Linked DNA regions of Daphnia pulex. The protein of the gene in region 1 binds, or shares a complex with, the protein of each later gene. Links are inferred from orthologs where the notes say so. Each region holds a gene or a part of one and is shown in the gene's direction. Other genes may lie near its edges.

The links.
Region 2: ubiquinone biosynthesis protein COQ4 homolog, mitochondrial-like (region 1) and 5-demethoxyubiquinone hydroxylase, mitochondrial-like share a complex: the UniProt entries of both Homo sapiens proteins name them as parts of the multi-subunit COQ enzyme complex. The link is inferred for Daphnia pulex from reciprocal best matches to the Homo sapiens genes COQ4 and COQ7.

The regions. Positions count from the first base shown.
Region 1 is NC_060018.1:4,004,804-4,021,326, reverse strand, and holds ubiquinone biosynthesis protein COQ4 homolog, mitochondrial-like, read left to right. Parts: upstream 1-8,407; 5' UTR 8,408-8,605; coding exon 8,606-8,702; intron 8,703-8,777; coding exon 8,778-8,912; intron 8,913-8,977; coding exon 8,978-9,074; intron 9,075-9,136; coding exon 9,137-9,239; intron 9,240-9,316; coding exon 9,317-9,446; intron 9,447-9,534; coding exon 9,535-9,628; intron 9,629-10,035; coding exon 10,036-10,192; 3' UTR 10,193-10,580; downstream 10,581-16,523. Other genes in the region: G-protein-signaling modulator 2-like, read right to left, coding at 4,375-4,566, 4,669-4,880, 5,016-5,169, 5,356-5,478, 5,721-5,924, 6,015-6,112, 6,249-6,415, 6,547-6,662 and 5 more. UniProt on the Homo sapiens protein: Lyase that catalyzes the C1-decarboxylation of 4-hydroxy-3-methoxy-5-(all-trans-decaprenyl)benzoic acid into 2-methoxy-6-(all-trans-decaprenyl)phenol during ubiquinone biosynthesis.
Region 2 is NC_060017.1:4,138,052-4,153,913, forward strand, and holds 5-demethoxyubiquinone hydroxylase, mitochondrial-like, read left to right. Parts: upstream 1-9,039; 5' UTR 9,040-9,135; exon of another isoform or gene 9,136-9,310; intron 9,311-9,379; 5' UTR 9,380-9,380; coding exon 9,381-9,552; intron 9,553-9,610; coding exon 9,611-9,760; intron 9,761-9,821; coding exon 9,822-10,099; 3' UTR 10,100-10,194; downstream 10,195-15,862. Other genes in the region: elongation of very long chain fatty acids protein-like, read right to left, coding at 11,246-11,560, 11,686-12,201, 12,313-12,503, 13,014-13,074; cohesin subunit SA-1-like, read right to left, coding at 15,102-15,108, 15,170-15,233, 15,747-15,862. UniProt on the Homo sapiens protein: Catalyzes the hydroxylation of the 5-methoxy-2-methyl-3-(all-trans-polyprenyl)benzoquinone at the C6 position and participates in the biosynthesis of ubiquinone.

The DNA.
Region 1 (16,523 bases):
GTACTAGGAAATCTTTCAACAGTACGAGGATCGAAAAGTGAATTAATGGGAGTCGATTATGAATATTCCATGCAACCATCTACCATGGAATGATCAACTATTCAAGAGTTAGTCGAATTCTATGTAAGAGAGAGTTCCTTAAACTATACAAGCGGTATAGAGGGGGATAACAGCTCTCGTCTGTTGCCAGGCGGATGATGTAGGCTACATGGGTATATCCGGTTTTCCACTCTAAATTTCGTAACATAAACCTTCGCAGCGTATCCGTGTAAAAGGAAAGAATTCTATATAGGTAGGAAAAAAAAATCACTTTATTACGGCAACAATAATAAATACGGCCGGACTGTTGGCAGTTCAAGAATGGAGTGACCTTCTCCCGACCGGGGCAGTCATCCCCCTATCGACCGGCACCCATATGGGATATTAGGATAGCTCCCTAGAGTCTCCCAGAATTTTCGACTCGATGAGTTTGCATTATGGAAAGGATGCCGACGATATTGCTGATTTGTTATTGATTACTATCTGTATGCTCGAGTTGGGTAGACTCCATGGCCGGGCAGTGGACCGACGGTTAACTCGGCTCTCTCAAGACTCCTTGGCTTCCACACTCGCCCGGTTAACGATTTCAATTAGAATACAGGATCGACTAATTCGCCAAGTTCGCCGAGCGCAGGCTATATATAAGACATTCCATTATGGTTTCCTCGCTTGACTTCGCCTCCTTCTCTCCTTCTCGTTGACTGAATTGACTCTCATTAAGACCTGCTGGCCGGGGCACGAGGCAACCAGGACACGGCGCTACCTGATACTGCCAGCGCAGCGATGAGGGTCGCAACAGGATGGAGGATTGACTCGTCCCCCCCGTGTGTCTCGCCTGGGAAATAATAATGAGACTGGCCGGCAACTCGTTGCTCGGGAGACAGAATTTATCCCTCATTAACTCATTGGCTGCCCAAATTCTCGATTACCTCACGTGATTACAAATTGAGACCTAAAGGGATCCGATCCCTAGTCAAGATGAACAATAACAAAGCTCGCAGGATAAAGAAGAAGAAGAAGAAAAAGAAAAGGAGAGAGAAGCCAAACGGGAAGGCAAGTCGAAGTAATCTTGGAAATCAACAAAGTGCACTAACGAAAGTGCAACAAATCCGGCGAAGGGCTAGGACGTGGAATAAGACGAGATAAAACGAGGAAGGAAGGAAAAAAAGAAGAAGCCGGTGGACACTATAAACAAAATTAATGGAGAAATAAAAGGAAATAAAAAAGATCCTTTCTCAAAAGAAGATACGCAGACACACAAGAACATATACGTATACCTGGAAGATAAAGAACGGAGAGAGTATGGTAAGGTATAGGAGTGTATATATATACAACATTCAGGAGTCAAAAGAGTGAAAGGGGTGGATCGATCACGAACGGTGCCCATCTCCGGCACGGCCTCGACTACGTCTCAGAGTCTAAACTTGACCCAAGTGCGTCACATTAAAACAGAATCGGTGAGATCCATTTTTTTTCTGTCCAATAAGTCTTATGTCTCTAAGAAAAGCAAACAGGGAGAGAAGAAAAGAAAAATGGACCAACCCGAGGGGGGTGTAGAATGGATTGGATTCCAAGAATTGAGGGAAGAATACGTAAGGAAGAAGAAGTAAATCAAATCAAATCAAAGAAAAACGATGTCCAATATCGCCACGGTCAGCTATCCCCCCCAGAAAAAGAAAAATGGTCCAACAAATCAAAGAAAAGCAGAATACGACTACGCACTACACCAGGTTCGACGTTTCAAGTCGAGTGTGAACGAAATGGAAAAACCAAATAAACGCCAAAGCAAAGCAAAAAAGAATATTAGGAAGGCCGGGGGTGAGGGTCCGTGAAAAGTTCCGAGATCGATGGCAATCACGTAAAGATGCGCCAAATAAGGCGGACTCTCCTTGCCGATGACTCCCGCAGCAGTCCGAGAGATATATAAAAATAAAATAAAAGGTCGATGTCGAAAGAAACACGACAACAAAGTGGCGGGGGGAGAACCTGAGGAACCAGACCGAGACTGCTACATTCAGTCAGACAGTATTTGAGAAAGGAAACAAATAAAACGGAGAGAGAGAGAAAGGAAAAGCAAGTAGATCTAGTGAACTTTGCGAACCGAAGCGACGGACATGATTCTGCCATCGAATCATGGAGAATTTTACAAGGATAAAAAGAGGGAAATGTAAAAAGAATCACGCAATCGCTTTCTGTTTATTTTGTTTGTTTGCTCTAGTCGTCGACTCGCTTCAATCGGATTCGGAAAAAAAAAAGAAAAAAGTTTTTTAATAGAACCGGGCGACGTGTGCAAAAAGAAAAGACAGAAAACCGGATACCCATCTGCGCTGTATCGGTATCTTGATACCCCTCCTATCCGGCATTATACGGAACATCCAGCTCGTCTTTTGAATCGTAAGGCGATTTGTCAAATAAAATCAAGAGGGACGACCAAAATTGTACAAGGTCTAAGCGACTGGGACGTGACGGAAGCGCGCGGATGACGTCGGCAACCCATCGGGGGCTCGTTCCGCCTTCGACCAACGCCCAGACTGCAATAATTCATCTCGTCTTGGATCGTTAACAAACAGCCCAGCGACTCGTGGAGAAATTACACGCCATTTTCTTTACGACGCACCAAGTCACCGCAGTCGTCGACTGTCGAGTCGTCAAGGAACTTGAGAATGTCACGCCATCATTTCTCTTTGTGTCGGACGCCGTACCAATCTACTAATGGTTATGAGGACTGAAATGAAAGTCAAACCCAATTTTGAGCTCCATCATAATTTGTACATCATCGTTGACAGCAACGAAAAAAAAAAGAAAAATAAGAAAACATGTACGTTTTACAAGTGGGGGGGGGCACACGGAGGAGATGGAAAGAACGTTGGGGGAAGGATTGGTGCAGTCGCCACGGCAGTTTCATTTTATCGTGAAAACAGAAACTGTTGCACATACAAGACAAGAGCCGTTCAACCTAAAAAAGACTGGAGGAGTTTGTTCCGGGCAAGATGTGTAGCCTAAGAGAGGTGTGTATAAGAAAAGCAACGAGGCGGAGAGGGAGGTAAGACCTAAAATCGGCGCGATACACACACTGACATACACGTCCATTTAGGGAATATTATTATTATTATTTTTTTGTAACTTTTATCTTTATGTTCTTCTCGTAAAATGCCCACCTGGACCCAACAGTTGGAATCAAGACAATTGGGGCGAGAGAAATACAGAAGAGGAGGAAGAAAGAGAAGTTGGACTGAGAACGACGCAGCTGGTTTGGATTACACATGGCGGCACGTCTAAATGTTGTATCAACACAACAAAAAAGAAATGGGCAACAAGAATTCAAGTTGAACATTTCAATAAAGGAGGAGGGGTGGGCCTTGGAAGTTTGGGAGGGAACAGAATCGGTGCCGTGCAACAAGACAGACCCAAGAAAATAATAAAAGTTTGCGCACGCGTATGGAAGATGTTGAATATCAAACAGGATTCATTTTACTCGCGTGAAAAATAGAACAAAGTGCTCTCGTTCCAATCCCCTTTTGGCCCTCGCTTTTTATGTTGGGAGGAAACAAAAACACGACTCGTTTACCCCCCACCCCCATAGGCATCTGCATTTACATCTCTTTCACGTCAGTCCTCGACAAAAAAAGAAACATTTTCATTTCGCTACAATAATAAAACGAAAATATCCCGAAGGAAAGGAGCCCACCAAGCACCAAAGTGAAAAGATAACGAGAAATCGAATTTTGTTTTTTTCCCCTTCTTGCTCACACTGTCGCCAACTTAATCTCATCTCTAAAAACTTCCATGACAAACAATTTCGTTTTCACGACAACAATGATGACTTTCCACTGCAGATCCAAGAAAGAAAAAAAAAAGATGGGGACAAAAATAAATAAAACGAGGAATAGGCCTATTTATTGTCTTCTAACTGCCTTTCACGTTGGGAGTAGGAACAATGCTCTGCCAACGGAATAGAAAGAGAAGACAAGAACTGCCATGTTCGGAAAAAAAAAGGGACTCCTTTGAACTCGTGTGCAACCATGCGGGAACGGACAATCAACCCCCCCTTCCCCTTGTTTGTTCCCCAAAGGAGGAATGGTGAGATTTAATTTTCGCGATTTCTACTTCCAGGAGGAGGCAGAGAGCGAATGAAATGGATGTGAAGTTGGAAGAGTTTTTTTGGAAAAAAAAACTCGGTCAAAAGTAAAAGAAAAAGGGAATGGCTATTTTTTGAAACGAATAAAAATGGAGAGAGGGTATTGATAGAGACTGTCAACATACATTTCGATCATGGATGAGAGCTGATGGCGAGGAGGGGTAAAACATTCCGAGAGGTTAGGGATACCGTTCCGTCTAGGAGGAAGTGGCGGCAGCTCCGTTGGCAGCGATGAGAGGTGAAGGATCTTCGGCTCTTTGATCCTCGAGTCGACCCGATTGGAGTCGCATTATCAACGAGAAAAAGTCTTCGTCGGGCATGGTGGGCCCCCTGTGCCGCCGAGGCGATGTATCCGGCAAGGCGCTGCGCTGATCTTCCAGCCTCGTACCCTACACGATGAAAAAAATAAAAAGTAAAAAATCATTTTAAAAAGTCGTTCGTGAAAAAGAAACGAGTACAAATTCGGCCAAAAAGGTGGAAGAATATCTAACCTGACACCGCATCAACATTTCGAAGAAATTCTCATCGGGCAATGCGGCTGCATCCTCGCCGGCTGGCTCCACAGACAGCCGACGTAAAATGTCTGGATTGGCGTTGTTCAGGCCGGGTAGTCGCGGTAGTGAAGCTCTCTGCTCATCCATCCGGCGACTCTGCATGCCGGCGATCAGGTCCATTAAATCTTCCTTCAATCTCGACGGGCTCTCTATCGAAACAATATGCGAAAAAAGAGGAAAATAAAAACACACTCCCTCGTAGAAGCAGGCAAACGAAACAAAACTCGGGGCGACGCCAGGAGCGCGTATCCCCCCTCCCTGGTTTCCCTGGAAAAACAACTCACCGTGAATATTCGACGGGAGTGTACTTGCTTGTTGGTTCTCCTTGTTGTCTACGATTGCCAACGAGCAACGCTGATCGTCCATGCGTTTCGATTGGAATTGAGTGACCAAATTAAAAAAGGATTCCTCTTCATCCATGGCGTCGTCTCCGTTGGCCTATCGTATTGCAAAACGAAATGGATTCCGGTTAGCAACAGGGTAGTAACGGACAGAAATAGAGAGACAAAAACAACAAGCGAGACTATGAGATGTGACAGTTGTGATAGACTGGCAGCGAAAGAAGCAGACAGACGAACGAGCCATCCGATAGAGCCGGATCAAGAGAGGATTGTTGAAACTTACAAACGGGGGCAGCATATCACGTCTAACCAACGGGTGACCAGCGAGCGGTCTAGGCCACACAGGATCCATTTCATGCAGTTCCCGGCGTCCCTTGCTATGAAGTTGTTTCACATCCGGCGTCAGCTGGATTAATCACAGTGCAAGCAACCGAAATTGAAACGGACCAACGAAAACAATGATGACGGTAATAAAAATAATAATAAAATCGCCATGCTGCAGATTTTGCCAAGAGAAAAAATAGAAGTTTTGGAAGGTCTCCGGTAGATTTCCCACCTTCCCAAGTTTGAACGCGAGGGTGCGGTATGCGAGAAAATAGAAGCCAAGAATAATAACAAAGCGACAAAAGCGGACGAACACAAACAAACCTTGAGCAAATCCATGCGCTCCATGCTTAACCTGCGCCTTGCCTTGCTATCTGCTCCGTAGAGTCCGTCGTCGTCGGCCTCGGAAGCGTGACCTTTCGTTGAGTTTCCCATGCCGCCGCAACCACCGTCGCCGTCAACGCCCAATGTGCGTCTCAAGTCGGCCAAGTTCATCTGTGCTGTCGCCTCGCCGGTCGGATCGCCAATCTTAGAGATGGAGAAAAGAGGGTAACGGTCATTTTACGCCATAACCATTAGTCCATTAGTAGGTCGGTTGATTGGTTCGTGTTGGCTCACCTCGCGGGATATTTCAAGGTGCCGTTGTGCGTAGTGCAGGGCTTTCTCGTGATTTCCCATGGCAGCGTGTGCATTCCCCAAGCTCCAGCAAGCACGTCCTATTGGTGACGGTCACGAAACAAACCGGAACAATGTTAATGGCGATCACAGGGAAGAAAGATTTTCCAAATTTAAAAGAACAAACAAAAAACAACCCGAAAGAAAATGAGCACCGAGTTCTCAGCACCGACTAACCTTCTCCAACTTTATCCATTAGCTCTTCAGCAATACGCAAGTGCCGCAGATGGTAATCGATGGCTGTGGGATAATCGCGAAGCAGAGTATACGTATTTCCCAGGCTGTAACAGGCTTGCGCTTCGACGGCTCGATCTCCGAGATCCTGTGCAAGTAGGAGTGTTTTCCTGAGGGAGAGGGGGGTAAATTGAATTTGAATGGGATTTCTTTAAAGTTTAAAGACGCTCGACGATTCCGTCCTTTTCATACGCAAATTACGGAAACTTTCGATCAGTAAAAAGGAAGTCGCTGTATTTACTTGTAATGTTCTGCAGCCGTTTCGAACTCTCCGAGGAAGATGTGCGCATTTCCCAGGTTGCTGTGGGCTCTCCTTTCGGCTGCTTTGTCCCCAAATTCTCGAGCAATATTCAGTCGCTAGAAGCACAATTGAAAAAAGAAAGTGGGCGATGAAAGAAGATTTTTCGCTCACGTAAACCACGAATAATTTGTCCCGATTGTATCGATTTTAATCTCCCTAAGCCTTCCCTATTAAACCTTCGTTTTTTTTACAACCCATACACACGATATCATAAGATATACATTTTTTATAGCCAAAAACGCTCACCTCTTGATGATATTTTATGGCTTGCGTAAAGCTACCCAAGAGATAATGGGTATTGCCCAAGTTCCCGCATGCCCGACCTTGGGCAGCACGATCGGTTATTTCTCTCATGAGTTCAAGATTTTCTCTATTAAGACGAAAACCAAAAGATAATGTTAATCAGAACGGGTAAGTAAAATCCAATCTCAACTTCCTCTTGGAAAAAATAAAAACTCACTCGTAATAATTTACGGCTGTTAGCAGGCAGTTCCGCACGTCTTCGGGAAACTCGCCTGGATCTTGTTGACCCAGCCGGCCGAGATGTTTTCCTTTCGCATGAAAAACGTTCCCCAAGTTATACAACGCCCTTCCTTCTCCAACCTGGAAATGCGTGGGAGCCATGTTTACATTAGAGGCGACGAAAACGATATTAGGAGCTAAAAAAAACTGTACTTTATCGGTAAGCTCCCTGGAAATGTCGAGGTGTCTTTTGCAACAGAGAACAGCTTCATCGAATCTGCCCATTACTTTCAATGTGTTTCCAAGATTTCCACTGGCTTTGGCTTCACCTAGTCTGTCACCCATGGTTCTGTAAAATATGGCAGTTTAGAAAATAAAATTTAAATTTTTCCACAATTAGAACCAAACAAATATAGTGTGTGAACAATTACCTGGCTAGAGTAAGATCATGTTTGTGATACTGCATGGCTTTGGTGTATTCACCCAGGTAAAAATATGCATTTCCAAGTTGTGAGTAAATGGCGCTGAGGGTCCTCAAGTCATCGGTACCAGCTTGAATTGCTGCTTCGAAAAAGGCGACACCAGCTCTGTGAGAAAGCAAACACAAAGTTACTGACAAGTGTGTTTGATACTACGTATGAATCACAATAAGTTTTCCAACCGACAAGCTGATTTCCTCTAGGGCAAAACAACTTGGCACATGGAAAGTTTCTACCTGCAATCACCAGCTTTGCAAAGACGTTCTCCTTCTAACGCCAATTCAAGGCATGTGCTGTTATCCATGTCTGTCATTTTGTCAGGATGATTGTGTTTTGACTCAGCGAAGCTAAATGTTGACTAAGAAACACTAGTGTATAACTTTTCCCACTGTGTTGAGAAGTCGGTAAACCTAACGAATAACAAGACGAGCGTCTAGGAAAGCCTCGACTTCAGGAGACCAACTGAACGACTGAACTAAGGAACGTCCAGTTCAAATTCAAGAGACTCCCGACAGAGTATTGATTGTCGAGTTGCGCGCGGCTAGACTCACTGGTTGCGTTGCTTGCTCTTTTTCCACGAAGTAAAAATAAAAACATATGAATCAAATGCGTGTGACAGTAGGCTAGAATTCAAACCAGCATAGCATTACATCAGTCTTTAAAAAAACGTTGGCAAAACTTTTGAAAACTAAGACAGTACGTCTCGAATAAAACGAGACAATCGCAGAAACAAACCGCCCTTGTCTTTATTCCGCGCAACTTTTATTTCAATTCGACCAAACGACCGTTGGAGTGGATAGTTAGCATGTGGCGCCAAAAAACCAAGGCTAAAAGCCCCTGGCGGAAAAACAACTCACCACTAGATGGATCACGGACGAAAACGATTTTTGAAGCTATTTAGCAGACGAAGTCAAGTTGTTTCGTTAAAAGTGGTTTTACTTGTTTTCTTTTTTTTTTAAATTATTTCCGTGTTGTTATTCATGGATGATTACGTGAGAACCTACTTTCGGTGAAGGAAGAAATTGAACATTCACAGCTGCTGATTATTAAGGAACAAAATGTTTTTGAAGAGTTTGATTACTCGTCATAATCGAGTTGCTGTTCATGCTTTCATCGAGCGACAGTACACAACGACGACCCAAATTCCCTACATTTGTAAGTTAAAATTTGCCTTAACTCTCTTATGCACATAATTTAACTGGATGTTTGCCCTACATTGAATTTTCCAAGTGAAATGGATGAAGTCGGAAACAACAAAGAAAAGCGAACCTTTGTATGATGGGCACATTCCCATAAATTTGCTTCAAAGAGCTGTCCTTTCTGTGGGTTCTAGCATTGTGGCGCTGACAGATCCTGCAAGAGGAGGTGACGAGAGCTCAAAAAACTCAAAAGGCCTGAAAATAAGTTTCCTTTTGTTGATCCGAAATTAGACATGGTCGCTGTCAATGGTGAAAGTTCTGGCCACTCTGCTCTCAAAAAGATGCACAGAAAGATGCTGGAAAGTGAAGAAGGCCGACAAATTCTCATGTAAGCAATCTTTCCACAGTTAGTTATCAAGATTCTAATTTCTCATTATCATTGCCAACCAGGGGGAGGCCTAGAATAAACTCGAGCACAATAGACATTGAGAAGCTCAAATCTTACCCAGACGGAACTTTAGGAAGAGAATACACCAAGTTTCTCGAAGTCAATGTAAGTCACAAAGTTACAAAGCCGTCTCGCAATTCGTGAGCATAAATCTGACTAGATAAATGGGGCTGATTCAACAGAACGTCAGCCCGGATACGAGATTGCCTGTCCGCTTTGTTGACGACGCCGACTTGGCTTACGTGATGCAGCGCTACCGCGAAACCCACGACCTGGTCCACACTTTGCTGGGATGTCCCACCAACATGCTAGGTATAGTCGCATTCACGATTGACCGGCAAGTTTAGATTGCGCTGCCTTGGAAATGCTCCTGAAAAGCAAATTTCCTTTTTTTTAATAGGCGAAGTTGCAGTCAAGTGGGTTGAAGCCCTTCAGACGGAATTGCCCATGTGTATCGGTGGTGCTGTGTTTGGACCTATTCGCTTGAAACCAAAGTAAATAGACAATTCATTGCCTCCGTTTTTCCTTCACACTAGAACAACGAAAAAAGGACAACATTGGCAGCAAACGGTAGAACAAACAAAAGAGACTAACAAGTGGACAGATCGTTTCCAGCCAGTTAATTAAATCCAGCTGTGTGACAACAATAGGAAGCCCTTTTATAAATTTGAATTGAGTCAACTGATGTAATAAGAGCATCCTCTTTTTCGTTTTCCTTTTTTCGTTGGGTCTCCTCTCAATTTCTTTTCTCTGCGTCTCTCCCCCGTGTGCGGTTGTTGTCTCTCGTTCGGTCGAGTGTAGCACGCTGAGCCGCTTTTGTCTCCTCCCCAGGACTAATGAGCTTCTTCTTCTTTTTTGTTTTTCTTTGCCCGTCTTTTGTCAATTATTATGTTCGTGCAAGGAACCGGTCGACTTATCTGAGCAAGTACTTACCGTGGGCCATAGGCGTGGGCTCGAGGAGCAGCTTCTTAATGAACGTCTTCTACGAGCGACGCTGGGAACAAGATATCGCAGAATTGCGTGACGAATTGAAAATCGAAACTCCACCTGGGGTTTGATAGGTCCGCCGCCTTCCCATTGAGACCGACGTCTGCCGGATGCGGAGACACAACACTGAACCCCCCGCGAAGATGCGCCACCACCCTCACTCTCGCCAACAAATTTGGACCCTTTCAGTCTCTAATAATTGTTGTTTTCTTTTTCTTTCTTTCTTTCTTTCTTTCTTTCTTTCCCTCTTGTCGTTTTTATATATTTCCCTACTCTCTTGATTGGTACTTCTTCGTCCCATCCGAGTGTCTCTTCTCCCCTCCGCCAGCCGGGGGACCTGGCCTGATGGGCGCCCATCATTTTCATAGAGAAGAGAATAGAATTGGCCGACACAATGGACGGCTGATTGAATACATCCTCGCGCGTTGAAAGAATTGATGTCTGACGCGTGTGTTATTAAATAGATTTGTTTTTTATTTATTTATTTATTTATTGCAATGCATCCAGCCACAGCAACCGCACCCGGCAACTCGCGCTTAATTGAAATACCAAAGGGATCGACGGCCGGCCGGCCCTGCAAGTCATCATGGAACGAATTGCCATTGGAAAAAGTTGGGAACGGGAGCGCAACAGCCTAGAGAGAGAGCGGCGTCATTCACGCCGCCCGCTCTTTCGTCCCTGCATGCTGTACCAAGGACAAATGTGATCGACTACTCTACTAGCGACGAGCCTCAAACAGAAAATCAATAATATCTATCAAGTTGGTGACGACAGTCTTGCGAGTTCAACCTCTTTTTCTTCTTCCGATTTCTTTTTTTTTTCTTTTCGTGTCCCGCTCGGTGACGCGCCCCTTTTCTCTCGTTGACTTAAAGTTAATTCGCGTCAAATCAGATGAAAGTCTTGATGGCCCCGCCAACGCAACGGTCACTCAAGACCCCACGAGTGGCACTACTTGGTCAAGAAACTCAAGACGGACAAATTTTTTTCGGGAGAGCACGGATGTTTACTTCCTTCTTTTCGCCGGCCAAACCAACTGCAACCGGACGTACATTCTGGGTTTAACTCTATAACACAGTCAATTCGTTTACCTTGGATGAATTGTCGTTCCTCTTGAACGGATTCGGGCCAGAGCCGGCACCGACGACGTACATATATCCCGCGCCTTGTGTGTAGAAGAGGCAATGATTGTTCGTGCTGCTGGTCGCCCAACTTGCCCGGCTATACAAATTCACTTGACTGTACCGTACCAGCAAGATTCGTATTGAATATCACTCAGTGTGTGCCCAGTTTCGGGCCGTTCCGCTTCGTTATCGAATTGCCGGCCATGTGCAGTCAAGTGATGAGAGCTGCAGCACAACGGGCCTCCTCTCTAATTGAACCCGAAAAAATGGGGTCGAACGGGCCGATGAAAAATGTAATGGCGGATAAGATGAATCCCTATCCAACTTTTTTTTCTGGGTGGGGGGGGGGGGTGGCTCTGATCCTTATTGTCATCATTCAAAGCAGTGTCTCTTCTTCATTTTCGGCCGAGATTTCCAGTTTTTGAAGGAAGCCTAGCGCGCTATACACTGCCTTGATGCTCTCATTCAAAGTCAATCCGAATTGTTGCCTAATCTCGACTGCTGGGAATGGAATATTAATTAACGAAGTAAATCTTCTTTGTCCCTCGTCAACTACATTTTAGTGTGTACCGTTATAATGTCTTGGCATTGGGCTCTTGTCATCTTCTCGTGGAGACTACTGACAATGTCGGCATAAATATGCCATCGTCCGTATCGACTGGGTGTGTCCTCCGAGACTGTGCGGGTGAAACAAGTGAAGCTTCTACAACATAGAAATATCCATCCAGCAGCCTCACAATGACAAAAGCCTAGTACATCTTTTGTATGGTCGAGTCGCAGTTCAGAGAATGTATATAAAGGATGATTCCCCTTGACCCAGCGCACACTGGATTTCTCCACACTCGAAGGACAGCAGTTTCGTAAGAGAAAATGCTGGGCTCGCTCGTCATCGACAATGGCCCACCGCCCATCCTTCCACCGCATCTTTTTGGCCGGATGCCGACCGCTGGAGCGTTGCGCTGGAATCTCAAGGCGCACAAGATAACATGACTTCATTAACTGTCATCGATCCCACGCGGCTGCGGCTGCATGCGTCCGTCCCGTGTTGTCTATGATATGATGCCGATATGCAGCAGCAGCAGTAGCGCTGGTCTTCTTATTTATTATTTGACAAGAGGATATCGTAATGTTGAACCATTGCAGCTGCATCATACAGTTTCTCTTTTCTCTGCAGCTAGAAAGGAGAGCAACAGCGTCCTCCAGGGGAAAAGAGATGACTAACAGGATTGCATGAGAAGAACGAGCTGATGCAGCATAGTATAAACAACCCCGGCTGCTAGCTGCTAGCTGCTAGCTGCTAGCTGCTATAGCCTGGGTTTCCTGAAGAAGTAATGTGCCCGGCAGTTTTTGACGTCATCAGAGTCGTCGTTGAGAGACTGACCCCTTTGGAAAAGTCAACGACGTACACGTTGTACCGAGAAGAAGTCACGACTCGCAAATGTGCGCCACTCACGTTATTATTGCGACTTTCTCAGCGCGCGCGCGGGGGGCAAACTGATTTCGCCGTGATGGCGTTTCAATTCGACTCACGCTCCCAACTCGAAATAAATGACTCAGCTTGAACACACGAAGCCCTTCTTCTCTCGTCCCGCTTAACTTCATCAAGTGCCGTTTCGGCACAAAACAAAAAAGTGCCGTCTCTCTTTATCTCTCTCTCTTCTTTTCTATTTTCCATGGCTTCTTCTTTTTTCCCCATTTGGATTTTGCGGTCGTTGTCGTCGTCAGTTAAAATAAATTGAATCAAAAGAAAAAAAAATCAGAAGACAAATAAGTCGGAATGAACTGGCGTCAATTTCATTTTCTTTTAATTCTTATCAGCCCGAGTTCAATGTCGGACGGTGACACACGGACTGCTGAACGACGCTCGTCTCTAATCGACTCACAATTTCCGGTTGAGAGCCGACCGTTGACAGGCCCATCCAGCACTCCGCGCTTTCTTCTGCTGTGCGGGATTATATCTGACTGGCGTCGTGAGCGGAGAGAGAGAAAGAGAGAGAGCTATGGAGCACATTCTTTGTGAATGGCTGATGCGTGTGTGGCGTGTGGCGATTTCTTGTCTTTTGTCAGCACAAGTTGGTCGACGACGACGACACAACTTGGCATTATTCGTTTCTTCTTCTAGTCTACCGACTCCCGGTGTTGTATATGGCTGCTGGACAGCTCAGCTTTGTTTCTCATCATGCAACAGGAGATTAGGCAGCCGGGCGAGAACCTTCATTTCATCAAAAGTGTATATAGGGCCAAGCGGACCAAGCCTTTTTCTCTTTGAATGGGTTGGACCCCCTGACTGGCCCGCGGCAATCTCTTTGACACAAGAAACGGCCATGACAATACTACTCTCCAACAGAGTTGGGCTTCTATTATATCGCATCAAAACCCTTCACAATAATAAAAACTCCACCGAGAGATGATATTAGTAATAAGGCGACCGAGAAGCAGCACTTTCGTACGACATTTTGTAGATTTGACGTCCAGAATCCTCTTAGTAAATGAACTCCTTCCAAGGATCTTATATTTATTCAATCCCGTCATATTTCCCCGAATGGTGTAGAGACTATTATTAAATTTCCAGTAAATGGCCGAGTCAGAAGGAGATGATCACATAGTTCAACAGGGTCAACGGAAATGATTTACCGGACCAGACGAACTTGGATCTCGGCAAGTTCAAAAGCGGATTATGACAATTAGTAGTGCCCACAGAGCTCACAGACGTATAGAGGCATCAAACTTTCAAGGGCTCGACGCGGCTCGACGGCTAAAAAGCAGCAGCAGCAGTGGTTTATTAGCATATATCTATCGAGTGGGTAAAAGGAGTGTGACAAACAGGGTTTGTCCGCCCGCTCGGTCACCGATGAGCATTCGGCCGTCTCTTATATATTTCAATCCGAGTGTCACTTGCACACAACGCTCAGCCCAGCCCAGCCGCCGCTCCCGACTGAACATCTAGGCAAAGAGAAGAAGAAGAAATTGATGATGGCGTGACAAAACCTGATGCCAGGGAGTCACCGAGTCCACTATAGCTTCAAACAGCTTTTGACATTGACGGTCTTTACTTTTCATTTCTTTTTCTTTTCTTGGCTTCTGTGTGCTGGCCGTTTTGCCCGTGAGGAATAATCGGAACACACTCTGCAAGAGATGCCGCCCCCGGTTGATGGGTGATCATCCAATATTTGCCCAGGGTGTGGCAACTGTGATGTTGGCGAGAATGGCCTCTCCCGTTGATGTGTACACGGCGAAGCTAAACTAAGATACAGATGCATGTCTGGGCCGCGTCACATCCCGTCCATATTCTCTCGGATGGATTCGGGGTGGCGAGTCAAACCACCAAAATAAAAAAATATACAGGACGATTTGTAATCTCCGATGATGTTTCCACTTTCTTTTCTACCCTGGTTGTACACACAATACGTTTCTACTGTATAGCTCGCACACAATATGTACTCCTTTTCTACGCAGATGTAGTACTATCAAGAAAAAGATGTGGAAGTAGCTATAGTACACATAAGGATATGGGAAAAATCTTTGTACTACACATATAGATATGATATCCCTCGTCATTTTGTTTGCTATTTGTATGCCAGGCTGCACGCTCAATCCCGCGGAATGATATGAGAGCTATACGTCTAGTACTATACTCCATTTTTTGAAAGCTGCCGAATGAAAAACCTCTTATCGATTTCTCTAGAAATATTCGCGCTCTTATATTTCATCGAAAAATACCGTCGGGCGGAATGTACGTGGAGTAGTATACTCGGTGCGCTGCCACCCTCCGTTATATCATTCACAGCACCCAATATCTACAACACCGTCACTTTTATTTTGTATGCCATTAGAGAGTTAGTACGTATAGACACTTTGGCCGAGAAATATAAAGTGGAAGTCCCCTCCATCAAGCGATTATATGCAAGAATATATCACCTCTCTTTGAAATCCACTTCTGGCTCTCTCTCTCTCTTGACAGTGCATTGCCACATTTGTAAACGCTCAGTGAGAGGAGGAGCTATATAGACTATCTACACACACACGTGTAGTATAGGACGGCGATCAGGGGCTTTCTCGACGTTTTCATATACAGCTTTTATTACCATTTTGTCATTTGAATGTTAGTCTATAATGCCGGCTTATGTATACAGTCCCGCTCGTTTCTCTCTTCGTCTCTCGTCTCTCTTGTGTTGTGTATGTGCGCATCTGCGCACGCCGTGTCCCCCCCTCTGTGAAATTCATTGTGGTCGATATTCCCGACCCGAGAAAAAAAAATTCATAATATGCTAAACTCCTTGTGAATATGCGGCGGCTAAAACTCCGCTATACGTTTTGATGATTTGCCACATTGACGTCAACATTTCCCTTTTTTTTTATTTTTTAAAAAAAGGCGCCCTGCTGTGTAATATAGCGGCAAAGATAAATCCCGGGTGTATAATACATATTAATAACGAATGCCTTTGCTGCTGCTCTATAATAGGATATGATGTGAGAAATATATCCATCCCCAATAATAATCTGAAAGAATGTGATGGGGTATTTTCAAGCGGTTATTATTACAGCATACCGTATGCCGAGTAGTAGTATAGATCTCTATTCTATATATAAGACGCAAACAAAAGTAGAATTCTAATCACAAATCTAATGAAGAATTGATAGATTTATTCGGACTAACTAACTTTGTGGTGTATATACTATATAGTCGTGATAAGAAAAGTTGTCTGCGATTTCATGATGTTGACCGTTCCAGAATAGAACGCGCAGCACAGCAGTTCAATACATCACTGCTGGCTGCTGCTGTTGCGGGAAACTCGATCTCTCCTCCCGGCCGTCATCAATTTGATCCACATCGCCCCCGAAGCTATCATAGGCTATATGTATATAGAGCCCATACAAAAAAGGGGATTCAATTGTTGTACAACCATCGGCCGACTGATATGTGCCAAAGGAAAAAAGAAAGATGGAGCATATACACAATAGACCACCCCAGAAAGAAAAAAAGGAGTAGTACAGTAATACATCATCATTTCTTCTTATTATTATTATATGATTCCACAACCAGCAACTTTATAGTCGTGTTTTCTCCCCATCTCGAGAATTCGCCGGGACTGTCTTGACTATGTAACCACCTCCTCTTCTTCCGTTTACTCAGACATACATCAAACTGTCACGTATGGCTTACCCACAGCACACACACAAGAATAAAGGGAAATGGGTGGCACACGTAATATGTCCATATAGGCCTATATCTTTGTCGGCACGATATTACATTCCCCCCCGGCCATAGCACCGAGAGCAG
Region 2 (15,862 bases), on another chromosome or scaffold:
TATAAATTACAAGTGCATATCTGGGCTCCCTTCTTCAGTGGCCCCGTTTCCCTAAATAACCACTAACCAACGCCCGCCGGTGGTCACTCACTCGCTGCGACAACCAGGAGGAAGGGAGATGTTTGGTCGAACGGGGACTTGCAAGGTGCATGATTCGATGAAATCTGTTGGAGGCTCATGAGCCTAAGCCGGAAGTCTACTATGATGCATTGCTCTCTTAAAAGCTGTTCCTCGGCTCTCTTCGCTATTTTTCCGGTGTCTCTTAACCATGGCCGGGTAATCTCCCTGGTTCAGTCAATCACTGCAGTGTCTCCCCCCGCTTTGATTGGCTGTGTATTGAACCGGGCGGTCAGTTTAATAAACAATTCTACATAAATTTTGCTATTAATATTGATGATTCTGTTAAAGGTAATGAAACACGTACGAAGAAATAACTATAAATAATTTATATAGTTTATTTTCATTCATCGATTTTCGTTGATTTTAACCATACATTTTACAATTCATTCATTTGTTTATTGAACTTAGTCCGCTCGATTGCGACCGCACGGGGAAGTTAGACTTCATAAGTGACTTTTGCATGTTGCATCTTTAGATTTTTCTACGAATTTACAAACTGATTTTTTCCTAGGTGTACATTCTATGATGGACTTCCTTTTACTGGTTGCCTTTATTTCGTGATTTCAAGTATGAAATTGAGCTTTGCATGTCATGTAGGTTTATCTCGACCCAGTTTTTTTATGTTTATAGCCATACCATCAACTTATTTTTTTCAAATTCTAGATGCATCCTGTTTCTAGGATTTATTCTAGATGAAATCCCCCACCAGGTGCCACTGCAGTTTAATAACAACAATGACTGCGATATGATTAGTGCACGGTTAGTTACTGCATGGTTACTGTCTTTCACGTTTCGATGAGTATCAAGTGAACTATTAAACATTTCAAACAGTTGGTTAAGTAGCAAAATGTGGTAAAGCAGATTAAGTGTGAAACCAACATTATAGGTATTCTGCTTAGTTGATCTAACAGTTTGTATTTTTTATTACCTTGACTTGCAATCTCACACTTATCAATTCTTTTGATGTCTGATATTTTTAAACAGCAGTGAGATCCTTGTGAATGGAAAATAGCATGATCCAGGCTGTTCTTCAATTGCAAAGAAAGAGAATTATGATTGAAACAAATGCAAAATTTCCAACTGGAAATCTCTTCATATTCGTTGTGTAAGTTTTACTGTAAGTTGTAGGCCCTACAGTAAAGTTTATATAATTCCTTTTACTTATTCTTTTGATCATGATCAGAATTTTGGAATTACAGAGAATAAGTATAACACCTTAAAAAGAAAGAACTGTGGCTGTGCTAATGTAGCAGTATTGCGTGAGTAGGTTTATTATTACCTGTTTTTGTTTGGTATGATTTTTTCTTATTTTAGTATAAGTCTCGATTTAGCTAGAGCAGGGATCCTTTTCATTTTGCTGTTTAAAATTTTAAACATCTCTTGTTTACAAGGCTAGACGATGGCTTAGATCGTTTTTCATCAGTCAGAAAAAAAAACAGTTTCACTGTTTCAGTTACTTTTACTTTACGCAATTCTAAAGACATTTATCGGCAGTTAACGTTAGATAATTTTGTGTGATAACTGACCGTAAGCCACAAAGCTCACTTGTTAGACTTTGGTAATTTGCTTGCCTACTTCGGATTTTAAAGGAGTTAGTACTTCATTAAGTACTTATTAGACGCCCAAAAGAACTAACAGTCGAATGTGAAATTCGGCTTTTTCCTGAATTAATCCTGAATTAATTTCCTGAATTTTTACTGAACTACAGGATATGGCATAAGACAACAATTAGTGCATATTCTTGATTTGCTGATTTGATTCAATATTTTCGAAGTGCTCTCCATTATTTTTTGTTGACTTGTTTCTCTACGCCTCATAATAGCATCATGCTTGTTCTTGTTATTGATCAAATCCTACTTTCTCCTTTTAGGTGAATCTGTTGCCGCCATTCCATAGACTGACCCATTGGGATGGTGAAACTGACGAGAAAACGCTGAAATTCAAGAAAATTATGTTGATGTAGATAAATTAAAAGTGCATATCTGGGCTCCCTTCTTTTCTGTGGCCCCGTTTCCCTAACTAACCACTAACCAACGCCCGCCGGTGGTCACTCACCCGCTGTGAAACCAGGAGGAGGGGAGGGCTCTGGTCGAACGGGGACTTGGAAGGCGCATGATCCGACGAAAACTTTTAGAGGGTCATGAGTCTAACCCGGAAGCCTAGTAGTGACTAATCGCTCCCCAGTAAAACTTGCCTCGCATTCTTCTCTCCTCTTCCATTTCCAGGTAATCTCCCTGGATCTACGCCGACACTGCATGTGCGAGTTTTAGCAAGCAATCCGCCACCCAATTTGACAAAAAAGTGATAGTTTGTTTTCATGGAAATTGCGTCAGGCGGTTAAAAAATTTCTAGTTCAACAATCTCATGTAGAAATTTGCATCTAGTCTACTGGTGCACTTTGCGATTCTTTAAGCTTTATTAATTTATGTGATGTGTTAAAAGCAATTGTGGGTACTGGGTAGCTTAAAAATTAAACTAATTCGCTTTTTCAGAATATTTTGAAGATAGATCTCAAGAAAATCTAAAAACAACAAAGTGATCTAAAACAAAAATATTCAGAAAAAGTTAGATCAATTTTTTAGCTACCCACAATTGCTTTTAACACATCACCTAAATTAATCAAGCTTAAAGAATCACAATTTGCACCAGTAGACTAGATGCAAATTTCTACATGAGATTATTGAACTAGAAATTTTTTAACCGTCTGACGCAATTTCCTTGAAAACAAACTACCACTTTTTGTCAAATTGGGTGGCAGATTGCTTGCTAAAAAGCCTCGCACAAAAAAAACTGTCTTGAACCGGACGCTCTGTTTAATGAATTGTTTATTTTGTTCGTGTTCCAGAATAAATATAGTTGATACAAGTTATATCCAATGACATTTTATTTATTTATATATGAATATGATTATAGCTATAAAAAAATCGTGGCAATTGAATGTTGGAGATTGTAGGGGTTGAGGAATGGATGTGGGATTTGATGTCGGGGTTTGAGGAATGGATGTGGGATTTGATGTCGGGGTTTGAGGAATGGATGTGTAAGTGGAGAAGGTTATATGGGTTAACAACAGATTTTATCACCTGCATATTCATTAAAAAAATAATAAAATATACCCAACTTCTTTTAGTAAATGATAATCAAATATCCCACCCCAACTTCCTCCTCATTCCCCAATCGCGGACATGTTTATTATTTGTTTGACATAAACCTCCCCGTATTATTTTTTTTTGTTCCTTCTCAATATATAAAAGGTAAACTGCAAAGAAACAATTAGCAATAAAACACAATACTGGATGTAACTTCTGTAGCACAAAACCAGCACCTTGGATGCACAAGAAACAGCAACTTGATGCAGATATCTTTCACCACCATAGGCTGCACGCCACATTGGACAGCAACACCACTGCTATGTAAACATGAACCTATAACCAAAGTAAAATAAATCTTCAGCATCATTGGAAATGCTTTGAAATTAAAAAAAAAATATGCTACATTGTATCACTTCAAATATTCAACCCAAATATTATATGGCAATATTAACTTACACCTATCGTTGAAACTCAAATTTACATGAAACTAGATGACTCATGTAAGATTTAAATACAAAATTAATTTAAACTTTAAAGAATACTCTAAAGTGAAACAAATAAACAAAACCTCTTTCAGTATCTGCCTTTCTTGCTTACAACAAACTCCCCTTTAAAAAATCCATAACAGAACACATGACTGAAGGAAATAGCTGTTGACTTGACGAAATCCCTAAATGTTAAAACTAACCAATGAATGCAAAGCTTAATCATATTTTAATTGTAAAATCTAAACTGGATAATAAGATTGTCACCTTCAAATGGTGTATGTGTTCAGGATGTTCGTCAAAGCAAAGGTAAATGTGACTTCCATGCAGCCTATGATTGGGTGGAAGCCCTAGATTGGATGGCTCCAGTTCCTTTTATTAAGAGGAGCCTGCAATCAAACATTACAACTGTTATGATTCAAATGTATATCAATCAGTTTAATTGTTAATTTTACCATTGAACACACAGAATGTTACTCAGTTTCTCGACGTGGTGGACAGCATGGTTTCCAAGTCTTTCAGCATCAAAATTCGTCTACAAATAAAAAATGAAATTAAACACTTTCAGGCCACTTTCATTGCACATGAATAGAATTTAATCGAATCAATTATACCAAGAATAATAGCAAGCTCACGAAGCGCCAAACCGAACCAACTACAACCCATCACAAATTCTAAAAAATGCCTAACAAGTAGCAATCAAGCTAATTAATAAGCTAACATCAAAACCCCAAACAATTAAAAATGGCGACTCTTTCTCTCAGAAACCCTGAACTTAACAAAGAACCAAGAAGGTAGGGGCTAAAGGGCTAGCCTACGCCCAACAACTGAAGACAAACCTGGCCACCAGATGTCATCTTCAGTGTCTCAGGCTCTCAGCCACAACAATAACAATTTAAAAAAAATTATTACGGCTAAATCCATCAAGGGAACTTCACAATTTCATGATTGCCATATGGGTGGACCAATTTACCAAACGTCAATCGTTCGTCAATCACTTCAATCAGGCTCTGAGCAGAGCGACTGATTTTGCAGTGGAGGACACGGAACCAACTGCAATTTACTTTGATTTCATCTTCGCTCAACGCCTTCTAGAGGTGAGCAGCTTCTGGGTTGCTACTCTCGTCCACCATCTTCGCTCAATTTTAGATTATAAGTAATTCGTATCCTGGGTGTCAGGGCACACGAAATAGCGTTAACGGGATGAATTCTTCCTGCACTGTTTTTTGACATAACAAAATTGACGTTGACGAAGAATTCATCGATGATTTTTTTTTCAGTTTTGCAAACAAAAAATAATTGTGTATAGTAAAAGTTACTGAAACAGTGAAACTAATGTTTTTAGAACGCTGAAAACAATCTAAGCAATCGTAATGCCATCTAGCGTTGTAAACAAGAAATGTTTAAAATTTAAAACAGTAAAATGAAAAGGATCCCTGCTCTAGCTAATCGAGACTTACTAAAATTACTAAAATTAGAAACACAAATAATAACAAGCAGAAAAAAAATGACTCACGCAAGATTGTTGAAGATCGCAACCGCAGTTCTTTCTTTTAAGGCGTCATTCCCTGGACAGAATATTTTCCATAGTTCAGATCAGACCTGAAGGAGAAATAAAAGGAATTAGTATAAACTTTAGAATAAAACATACACCACGTCTATGCAGGGAATTTTAGTTGGATATTTTGAATTTGTCTCAGTCTAAATTCACTTAGTTTACAACTGCTAATAGAAGAACAGTTTCTTAGAAATTGAGGAATTATTAAAACTACATAGAATTAAATCAACTAAGCAGAATATCGTAAATGTAGGATACAGATGATAGATGACCTGCATTCTTCTTTTCTTCAGGTTCAATTTAAAAACTCACTTTAACAGACAACAGTGTCTCCCCCTGCTTGACTGGCAGCAGTTTGTACCGAACGGTATTCTATTGTACAATGTTGTACTCGACCGTTGACTACTTCTGTAATATACCGACGGTATGAGAGATGGAAAATCCTGGATGAAATGTTTTAATAATTACGACGAAGATTTAACAAAAGGGGGAGATATATAACATAAATAAAAACAATGCAATTCGGTAGCGTACCTTTACCAACACTAAAACTGGCCGTGGAAGCACCAGACTTTCTACAGCGGCCATGGAACCATTGTTACTTGCGCTCATGCCGTTGGCTACATTGGCTTCGGTTGGGCCAATACGCCAACTGTCTGACGCTTAAGTCGGAAATGTGAATTATGCGGCTTATAGGCGCTCCCTAATAATACGAAGAGTAGAAAATGAACCAAAAATAACAAATAAATTCGCGACAATTTCAAATAATCACTCAATTGGAGAAATGAATGCTTTGCCGATTACCAGAACACTGTCCAGTAGATTGACTTGGGAGCAGTGGATTCCGATGTCGAATGGTGCACACGATCTCCATTGGTGCGACATTGGAAAATTCGGCTGAGTGAAGGTTTCCTCGCTGGATCACCAAATGGCGGGAGTGAATAGGCGAGTTGCTTCTGGACGAGATACGCGAGCTATTGTGCCGGGCCGTCCGAGAAAATCGAGATCTTCTTCAGCCGAAAGAACGATCCAAGGTCCAAACTCGACAGCACTTCATCGAGTTCCAAATCTATCCATTTTCAGGATAGCATAAAAATGAGGAATTAAAATTTAATTTTTGATAGGTAGCATTTGTTACCATAAATTTCATGGAAAAACCAAAAGAAGTTTCCGGGTGAAACTAAATTTGTTCAACCGGATTGACTAGGAGCTCTTGTAAAACCCAACACAACACGTTTGTTATGATTTCTCACAGAGCTTAGAGATCTGGCCCCCTGACCTCATGGGCCAATAGGCCTGACCCACAACTTTTGGGCAAAAAAGTTGGAATTTTTGTCAAAGATGTGGGAGGATGACACAGATAAAGCTGAGGATGTGAGTGACAGGAGTGTTGAGCAATTTGTTCTTCAAATAGGGTCCACTGTCCACATCTCAAATCTGATGACTAAACATTTTGAATGAAGTTGAATGAAAAAAGTTGATTGATTCTTAAAAATACCTGAGGATACGAAAGAAAGAAGTGGGACTCTAGTAGAGTAATTAGCTTTTCGGTTTTGGTCTCGTAGGAAGAGGACATTTCACAAGAATTTCGACCGTTGCGTAGGAACCTTCCAACCTAAAAAGGATAGTAAATGGTCTATGATTATCGCAAAAAATGCACCGGATTTTAAAACTTTGCAAAGAACGCGACCGCTTCTATCTGTCCTACGATTGGGTGAAACCAATTTTTTTCCCCATGAGCGACGGAAGATAAGAAAAAGGGTTGTCGAAATTTTTTGAAACTTACTTGTGGAATTATTATAACAATTATTAGAACGTTGGCGCCAAACACATCTTAAAATATCAACGATTTCCATTTGCAGAGTGAACAGTGGTTTTCAATGGACAAAATGACCAGGTAAGATAAAGCGTATTGTTTATCGTCTTCCCAACGAAAATTTAACTGATCGTCGACGTAAGTCATACTGAGTAATTCGTGGTAGATTAAAAGAATTGGACGATCCCAACAATCCAGTTCGACGAAGCGTGGCAGCGACATCAAACATCTAGCGCAAGACTCGCAACTTGAGGAACTGTTCAGTTGGTCACCAGGAAAATACCTTTATTCATTGAAAAATCATGATCAGCTTAGATAAATTGTTGATCAGTTTACGTACCATTTTCTCAAATATGATGGCGATCACACCTTCGATTTTGTCATTCTTTTTTTTATTGCGTTGAGCAGTCAACTTCTTCTTTTTCAACTTTGACTATGGTTTGAAATTCCTCTCTAGCAACTTCTTTGTTGAGTTCAAGATAGCAATTGTTGTTACCTAAATATAACAAATTATTAGCCTTTTCAAATGAAAAACAAAATGAAAAACAAAACAAAACAAAGAAACAAACAGCAAAAGTTGCTAAAGCCTTACTCAATAATCTTGATGTTCATGTTGAAAGAGATTGGCTGTAGAAGATGTTGAATGAAAGGATTGAAAGTTATCAGTCTTAACTATCTTCTCCATTAAAAACCTTAAAAACGCAAGAAAAAACTGGGTTTTTTTCGTCTATTTCGCACTTTTTTACACCAACACTGACGTTATTCTCACTGGCTTTTCTTTGGCATTTTGTTGCCTGATGTGGGAAATGGGAATGTAGTCCACGCCAATCCCCATATAGACTGCAGATTTGAATTCTTCTTACAATAGGCAAACATTGCATCTGGCAGTTCACATAGATAGGTGTTGCTGTCACTAAACTTTTGAGTTCAGTTCATTAAGTTCTTGTTCTACATCACCACCAACAGTCACACTGAGCATGAAAAGCCAAGAATCGCTGCTGTTGCATTGCAGTAAGTGGTGGGATGATTTTGACCTAATAATAACCACACACAACAAAATCTTGCTCTAGCACTAATTATTCTTAGAGGAGATTTAAAAATCCAACGCAGGCGAAACAATCTACGACTTCCTGAACCAATGTGATCTGGGCACATGGGCTGTTCCAATTTTTCTTTGAATTGACTGATTTAAAATAGGTTACAAAAAAGCTAATGCAACGCAGATCAAGAAACAAAAGCAAACTTTTGCGTGAAATCACTGAAAGATTGATGATTGAAACCACTTACACCATGCTTAAACTTATTTGCACAGTGATGAGATGGGATGGTAGCCTCACCATCTGTGCTGTTAGTTACCACACAGATCGTATGGATTCTATATCCGGCCTGTAACGCCTTAAACGCGGAAGCCTAACAAAGTAACAATTAACAAAGACGCATTCACAAAAACCTTCATCCAAAAACTAACTGAAAAACAGAATTGCAGACAAAGTTCCGTGAGAACTGGGAAAGTGGGAAGCAGTGTTGCCCTTTAACTAGTTCGACGCCTCGAGCTCGAGCCCTGACTACGTCGACTGTAGAAAAGAAGCGGCTACAGAGCGGATAGAAAAAGTAAGCGAAAATAAAATAAAGTGGACGAAATGTTTTACTGATTTTACAGGATAGGAACAGTTGAACAGGATTAACGAATATAACGGTAAACAAAACAAAAGACTGCTTAGGATTTGGAATGATGTTGACAATCCCCGCCAGGATAACTGCTTAAAGTATTCAGCGCTAGGTGGAGATAGCTAACGACCTGTACCTCTCCCTTCCCCCTTAATTGGAACGCAAAAATCTTATAAATCACTAATTTTACCATAAGAGTGCTATGGATACTTAAAATTGGATTGTAAAGCTCCATCGATTGATTCTGTTATTAAATATTGTTTAAAAAAAAACATCCGACAAGCTATAAACACGGCGATCGTTCCGCCCTCAAGCATAGCAAGCAGTCGATAGCTGACAGCTGTGAGCTCAGTTTGTTGACAAAATCTGTGTTTTCGTTCTTGCATAACCATCTGGAATGTGAGTAGCTGTGTGCTTTACTTTCACAACCTATTTTACCTGTACTTGAAGTCGCTGTTGGTGTTTTAATGTTTTTTCGCTATTCTCTACCGAACGGGCCAAAGGGGATCATTTAAGGCATTAGTTATTAATATGTTTCTAACCCCTTGTTATGATGTAATTCCGGCAAAATTTGGTAAACTTAAACACGAAATGTAAAATGCAAAAAATGTTCTAGATCTATTTTTTAAATTTGAAATACTAGAATGACTTATAGACCACAGAAGATCCCTCAGCTGTTCCGCCAATTTGCTACATCAACCAAAATATCACCTAAGGAAGCAAGGGAAAATATTACACGAGACAGATTTTTACGAGTTGACCATGCTGGTGAAGTTGGTGCCGATCGAATTTACGCTGGCCAAATGGCTGTTCTTGGTATTTGCCCTAATGGATATATGAATATAAGAAGGATGAATGATTTTTTTTTGTATAGGGAAATCCAATGTAGGAAGTGTGATCCAGCACATGTGGGATCAGGAGAAGGAACACAGGAAAAAGTTTGATGAACTTCTTCCAAAGTACCGTGCCAGACCTACTGTGATGTTACCCATTTGGAATGTGGCAGGTTTTGCTTTAGGAGCTGGTACTTGTCTTGTTTTATAGCTAATTGTTATTTCAGCAACTCAAACCCGTTTTGTCGTCAGGTTCTGCCTTGTTGGGGCCGAAAATGGCCATGGCATGCACAGCAGCTGTGGAGACGGTCATTACCGACCACTATAATGACCAAATTCGCGAGCTCATGACCAACCCAGAAGAAAACGGTGAATTACTGAAAGTCATAAGCAAATTCCGCGACGAAGAAATGGAGCATCATGACACGGCCATCCTGCACAAGGCCGAAGAGGCTCCCCTATATCAGGTGTTCGCCCAAGCCGTGAAAATTGGTTGCAAAGGAGCCATCTGGATATCAGAAAGAATCTAACGTAGGCTACTTGTATTCCCTGATGTATAGTCTGTCGCGACGTTAAAATACGATGTCCATGTGATATACGTAATACATTTAGTTTGATTACGTAATAATAGACTGGCTAACCGTTTTGTTGTACAGCGACGCCATTTTTGGGTTTTGTTTCGTTTTGTTTAAAAATTAAAATTAAATATCTTAAAAATCTAGTAACGAGGCCACCGAGAGTCTCTTGGTAGAGGACATGTACGTACATGGAGAACAAAACACTAACTATTGTCTGTCTCATACAAAGGAAATAACTGAAACTAAATGACTGAACTATGAATAACTGCTTAGGCTACAATACTTCAATCTTCACGCGATTCGTCATCTTTTCTCCGGGAGGGAAAACTAAATGATGAAATATGTTTACAACCCGACTGTGTCAACCGTCAAGTAGCCGAAAATTCTAACGGGGAAAATGTTTGGATTTTCTATTATGTTTCTTGGATTTCCCCAAAAGAATGATACAAGCAACATGAAAAACTCCCCGTGTCGGAAACGTTTTCTCGAAATTAAAGAGAAAATAGCTCTTGCGACTCCATATACTTTCTATACACCTCCACGGTATTTGCAGTGATGACACTTGAGTGCTAGGGAACGTATTTTCCGAACAAAAGAATTCGAAAACCCACCAGAAAGTGTATTGGTGACCTAGAATCATACTGACCCCCTTTTGTGCGGCTTTCATTCTGGACGGTTCCGTGTCTTCGTCGCTCATGTTCCGTTACGCGATGATTCAGCATAGGGTATAATAATATTGAACATATGGTGATTCCGGTAGCTCGGCATCAGTTATGGAAAAATAGAAATATAACTTGGAATATCAAATCTCCTTGTATTGAGCCGACGTCAACAACATTTTAACCACGTATGCATTGAATAAAACTGTTCTTCGGCATATATACACTTCCGTTTCCAAAACTTTTAGCGTGTGTTTTTGCCTTTTTTTTGTTTCCTTAATGTTGTAACAAAATGCAAGAGCATTTAATATCTGATAACCAAAAATGGCCCATAAGATCAATATATAAAAGAGTAAGAATTTGAAAACAACGAAGCAAACGTTAGAGGAGGTGTTACTTGACAATTTCGATTTGGCAAGTTGGAACTGAGCTGCAGAACTTAAAATTTTTTCTTCTCGGCTATAGAATGGCCATTGGAATACCCTTTACTTTTGCAAGATTCAGCTCCTTTCGCTTTGCCGTTGGATTGGTAAAGACCATTTTGACCAATGTAGCATGCGGCGGATGCGTTGGACATGATGTTGGTGATCATCTTTCCGACGCCACGGCTTTCCTTTTCAGCTTTGGCGTTGCCTTTTCCGTTGGCGATTTTGTCATTAGATTTCCCGTTGCGAAGGTTCACTCCGTTCTTTGCGGTGTCATCATGGTCATCGTCCTTTTTAATAGCTGGCAGCCTGCGGCGTTTGATGTAAGCCTGTGCAATAGAAAACAATCGTTATCACATTAGCATTCAATTCTAAAGATTTCTTTGAGTAGAAACATGAATTTCTGCCGTGCTGCAGATAATTTTAAAAAGCTTAAGTTTTCATTTGACAGTACCTGGATGTAGAAGTTCGAAAAAAGGCTTAAAAACATGATTGAGTTAAAGCACATGATATATGCAAGAATCTTGGGGAAGTTGCACTCAATGAAGAAAAGTTGAGCCGTGTGAAAAAAGACCGTGATGAACTGAACCATTTGCATCGTGGTCAGATGCTTCTTCCACCACAAATATTTCTGATACTTTGGTCCCATTGCGGCTAATAGGTAGTAAGTGTACATGATAATGTGAACGAAAGTGTTCAGCATTCCAAAGAATGTGGCGTGGCCACCGGGGGTGAACTTGACACCCCACCAAACGGCTGCCGGCATGATGCTATGGTGAATGACGTGGAGGTTGGTGATTTGATCAAACTTTTTCCGCAGGACGAAGAAAACCGTATCCAGAAACTCGGTGAATTTGCAAAAGTAATACCACCAACACATTTGGGCAACAATCAACTCGTCGGGGTCGTCGGAATAGTCGACCGGTTGGCAGCGGAGGCTGTAGCGGAACAGCCAGGCGTGAACCAGACCCTGAATTAGCGGAAGAGTCGAAATGACAGAAAAAGAGAAAAAAAGGAAGTAAAATCAAATGAAATTGTCGCCCAGTAAGGAAATGGTCAAAGGTTATAAAGATTTTCATACCTTGTACACCAAGTAAATACTGGCGAGAACTTGAATGACATTATAAATGATGATGGCGGAACGGAGCTCGAAGGGTTTCCGATCGCGCATTAGCCTCGGTCCCAAGGATTTGACGAAATAGATGTAGCAAGAGCAGATGATCAGGGTTGGGACAGGTGAACTCATTAAGAACCATCCGTCGACCCTAGGATCTTGAAGAAAAAGGAAATTACGGTAATTTTAGTTAATGTTTTCTTCTAATAAATGCATCGACTGGTGTTCACTTTTCTAGAAAATGCATGAATTAGCCACTGGTCATTAAACATAAGCAGTACAGAATTCTGGGGAAAGCCAACTGAAGAATTCTCACGTGAAAGATAGACGGATTCTTTACCAACGTTTTCTCTTCGAAGAGATTTGGCCGTGTTCCGTTAAAGTAGCGGTCATACGAATGGGGTCACTATACTCTGAGAGACTTAACCACAGACCGTCATCGACGAATGAGGTCAATGGACTAGGAGTATCACAACTGTTCACCATTACGGTATAGGGGTTTCCATTCCGCAAATTCTTCGAGACACGATGAGGAGGATAAAATAATGCAACATTCTATTTTCGTACATGCGCTAAAAAGTATTTCTACACTTATCGGCCCCTAACAACTAAACAATGATGTCGCAAGCGGGGAGTATCAGCTGATAAACTAACGGATGATTCCTTACCTCGTTTGTTGATCATCAAATCATTGTAGCCGTCGACGACATTCTTCAGAAAGGCACTCATTCTTTTTTGATCAGTTAGCAATCAACTAGAAAAATTTCGAAAATAATAATTCCAACTCAACATAGGTACATAAAGTTACACAATCATTTCATGTCAAAAACTTGCTCGGACTGGCTGTCCTCATAAAAAGGTTAGACTTCACTTTTTCTTGTTACCTCTAGATCACTCAGGGCGACGAATTATACGGCAAACAAGTTCAGAAACCAGAATTTTTTACGTTGGATGATTAGAAAACAAAAACTGGAAGATTCACACGCGCACACTCTGAAGCCCTCAAACAGAGTGTGATCCTTGCTACCGACTGAAACACAGGTGATACGAATCCTTTCTTTATATATAGGCCACCGTCTAGCATTTAATGCCTAAAGCTATTCCTCGCTACTCGCCCTTCCTACTTTATGTTTGGCTCTATACCGTGCCGGCAGCCCGACACACGGGGACCGGCCCCACAGGCTAAATTGTATTTCAGTGCAGATCGCGTATTTTTACGAAGAAAAAGTCAAGACTTTCTTTATTTTGATTTCTTACCAACTAAAGATCAATTCTTCTTTTAGGAACCAAGTTAATTCGTTTTCGGCACAGGCTCATTGTATCGCTTGCGATCGCTTGCCATTTAAAAAAGAATAAAAGGGGGAAGAAAAAAAGAAAAGTTTAATTTGTTAATTAGCTGTTCTGCCTATTTTTAATAACGTTGTCGTCCAAGGGTGTGTTTCATAAGAACAAAAATTTTCACTGAAATGAAGAAAATAGAAGAATATAATACCGTAAGCAGTTTCTTTGATTTTGCTAGAAATTTGCATAGGAAGTGTTATTAAATGTTAATAGAATAAGGCTTATTTTTCGCCAGAACTATCGCTTAATTTAATTTGACAAAAACAATGTTTTATCAATGAAAAAGAAAAATTTCTGCATTTCTGTCGAAACAAATTCTTACTAATATTTACGTGTGAACGGATCACACAAGCGTGTGTATCTGTTCACGCTATGAAATTTAGGCATGCACGCTAATAGTGTGTCATTTCGTTACAAGAATGTTAGTCAAAAAAATAATATTGATATAACTGTATAGGAAGTGTGTTCAAAATTGTCTGCTGAGGTAGCTTCAATTGTCAAGTCAGCTTCAACTCAAAATAAGTCAAGAGAACCGAACTAAGCAACTAAGATTAACTTGTACACCTTGATGATCCAGCGTTTCATTCGTCCCGTCTTCACGTTAAGTTGCTGCGACTCTTTCTATTAAAGTGCTATGACCTACTTAATTCTATTTACTCGTGCCGCACTGTTGCTCTTCCTCGACCAGCTAGAATTCCTCCTCGACCTACATAGCAAAGCCATGTCTGTGGCAGAGTGTGAAATTCTCTCTTTGCCAGGTGCATCTTCGAAATATTTTCAGCCGATTCAAACAAAATCACAACTAGCTGATTGTATTGCATATCTAATAGGCTAGGGTGAATGGTGTCGCCGCAGAGTCGGTGGCAAGAAAAAAAAAACGATCAAGTTAAGTTGGAGAAAGAATTTTTTTGACAGATCAGCTAAATCATTGGTTGCCCAATGGTAGGAAATAAGTCGGTCAAGCTAAGGCTGACACATATATTGTGTTTTAGGATGTTGCGGCCTATTTTAAGAGAAGACATTATTTTCTGTACGGTTCGAGCCTACTTAATATTTGATAAATCACTTTGGGGGATAGCAGAATGAAAGCAGGGAACTCATTTTTCGATCTCAAAATTTTGAGCTAATAATCTCAAACTATTCGTGTGTTTAAGGAATATCGCAACCTTTATTGCGATGATTGTAGCATGTTTTTTATAAGCGTTTTTATAGTCGCAAAATAGAAGTCGGAGAAACGAAAGCGCGATTTCTTTTTTTTTATTATTGTTGTTACTTTTCTATTTATTTTAAAAGAAGACATAAAAACGGGGGAAATAAAAGCAATCATAGAAGACTTGCTGACAAAAGGGAAATGCAATCAAGTTGGAGAACGTCTTGACGAAACGGCAACATTACTTTTTCCGAATAGCGAGAGATTAATAACTGCAAAATCAATGAAGTGTAAACATTTATACAAAAGCAAACCAAAGGAAATACGTATTACCCAGCAAAATCTTGATCTGATCCGGCATCGTCGTTATCATCAGCGATTTCACCGTCGTCCCCGCCTACAAATAAAATTGAACTCGCGTCAATATCGAGGCGCTCATTGAATTGCACGCGGTTGATAACGGTCAACAACGAAACAAATAGATCCGTCATATTCGATCCCGGATTCCCGCTATATTAAAAAAAACTAGGTGCCGCTATTCGGTTTACAGTGATGGCAATCAAGTGATAAAAGGAGTTGTCCCACATTGACGCCAAGAAGGGAAATTGAACTTCAGAATGGAATAACGCAAGTATAAGAATAGTGCGGTGAACATAAGTAATTGTGTCAGATAACGCCAATTCAATCGAGAATTGCAGACACGACGAACCGACAAGTCGTGCATGATCGAACGGAGGCAAAAGTTTGGGTGCATTTCACACTTGATTTTTTACCGTTACATCGAAACATTAGGTAGACAAAAAAAAAAAGGTTGTAAACCAAACAAAGGCGTTGTCTCCTCTTCCATTTAAAATTAAGCGCAAACTAAAGTTTCTAATCGTATTTTGTTTAAAAAAGATTCTAGTCATACCTGCATCGCGTCGACGCCTTCCGTACGCACGCCGAGCCGTCTGCGGAGGTAGATCAGTTTCGCCATGGACCAAGGAATTGCGGTACAACAAGAGAGGTTGCCATTCTTCGCCGCGA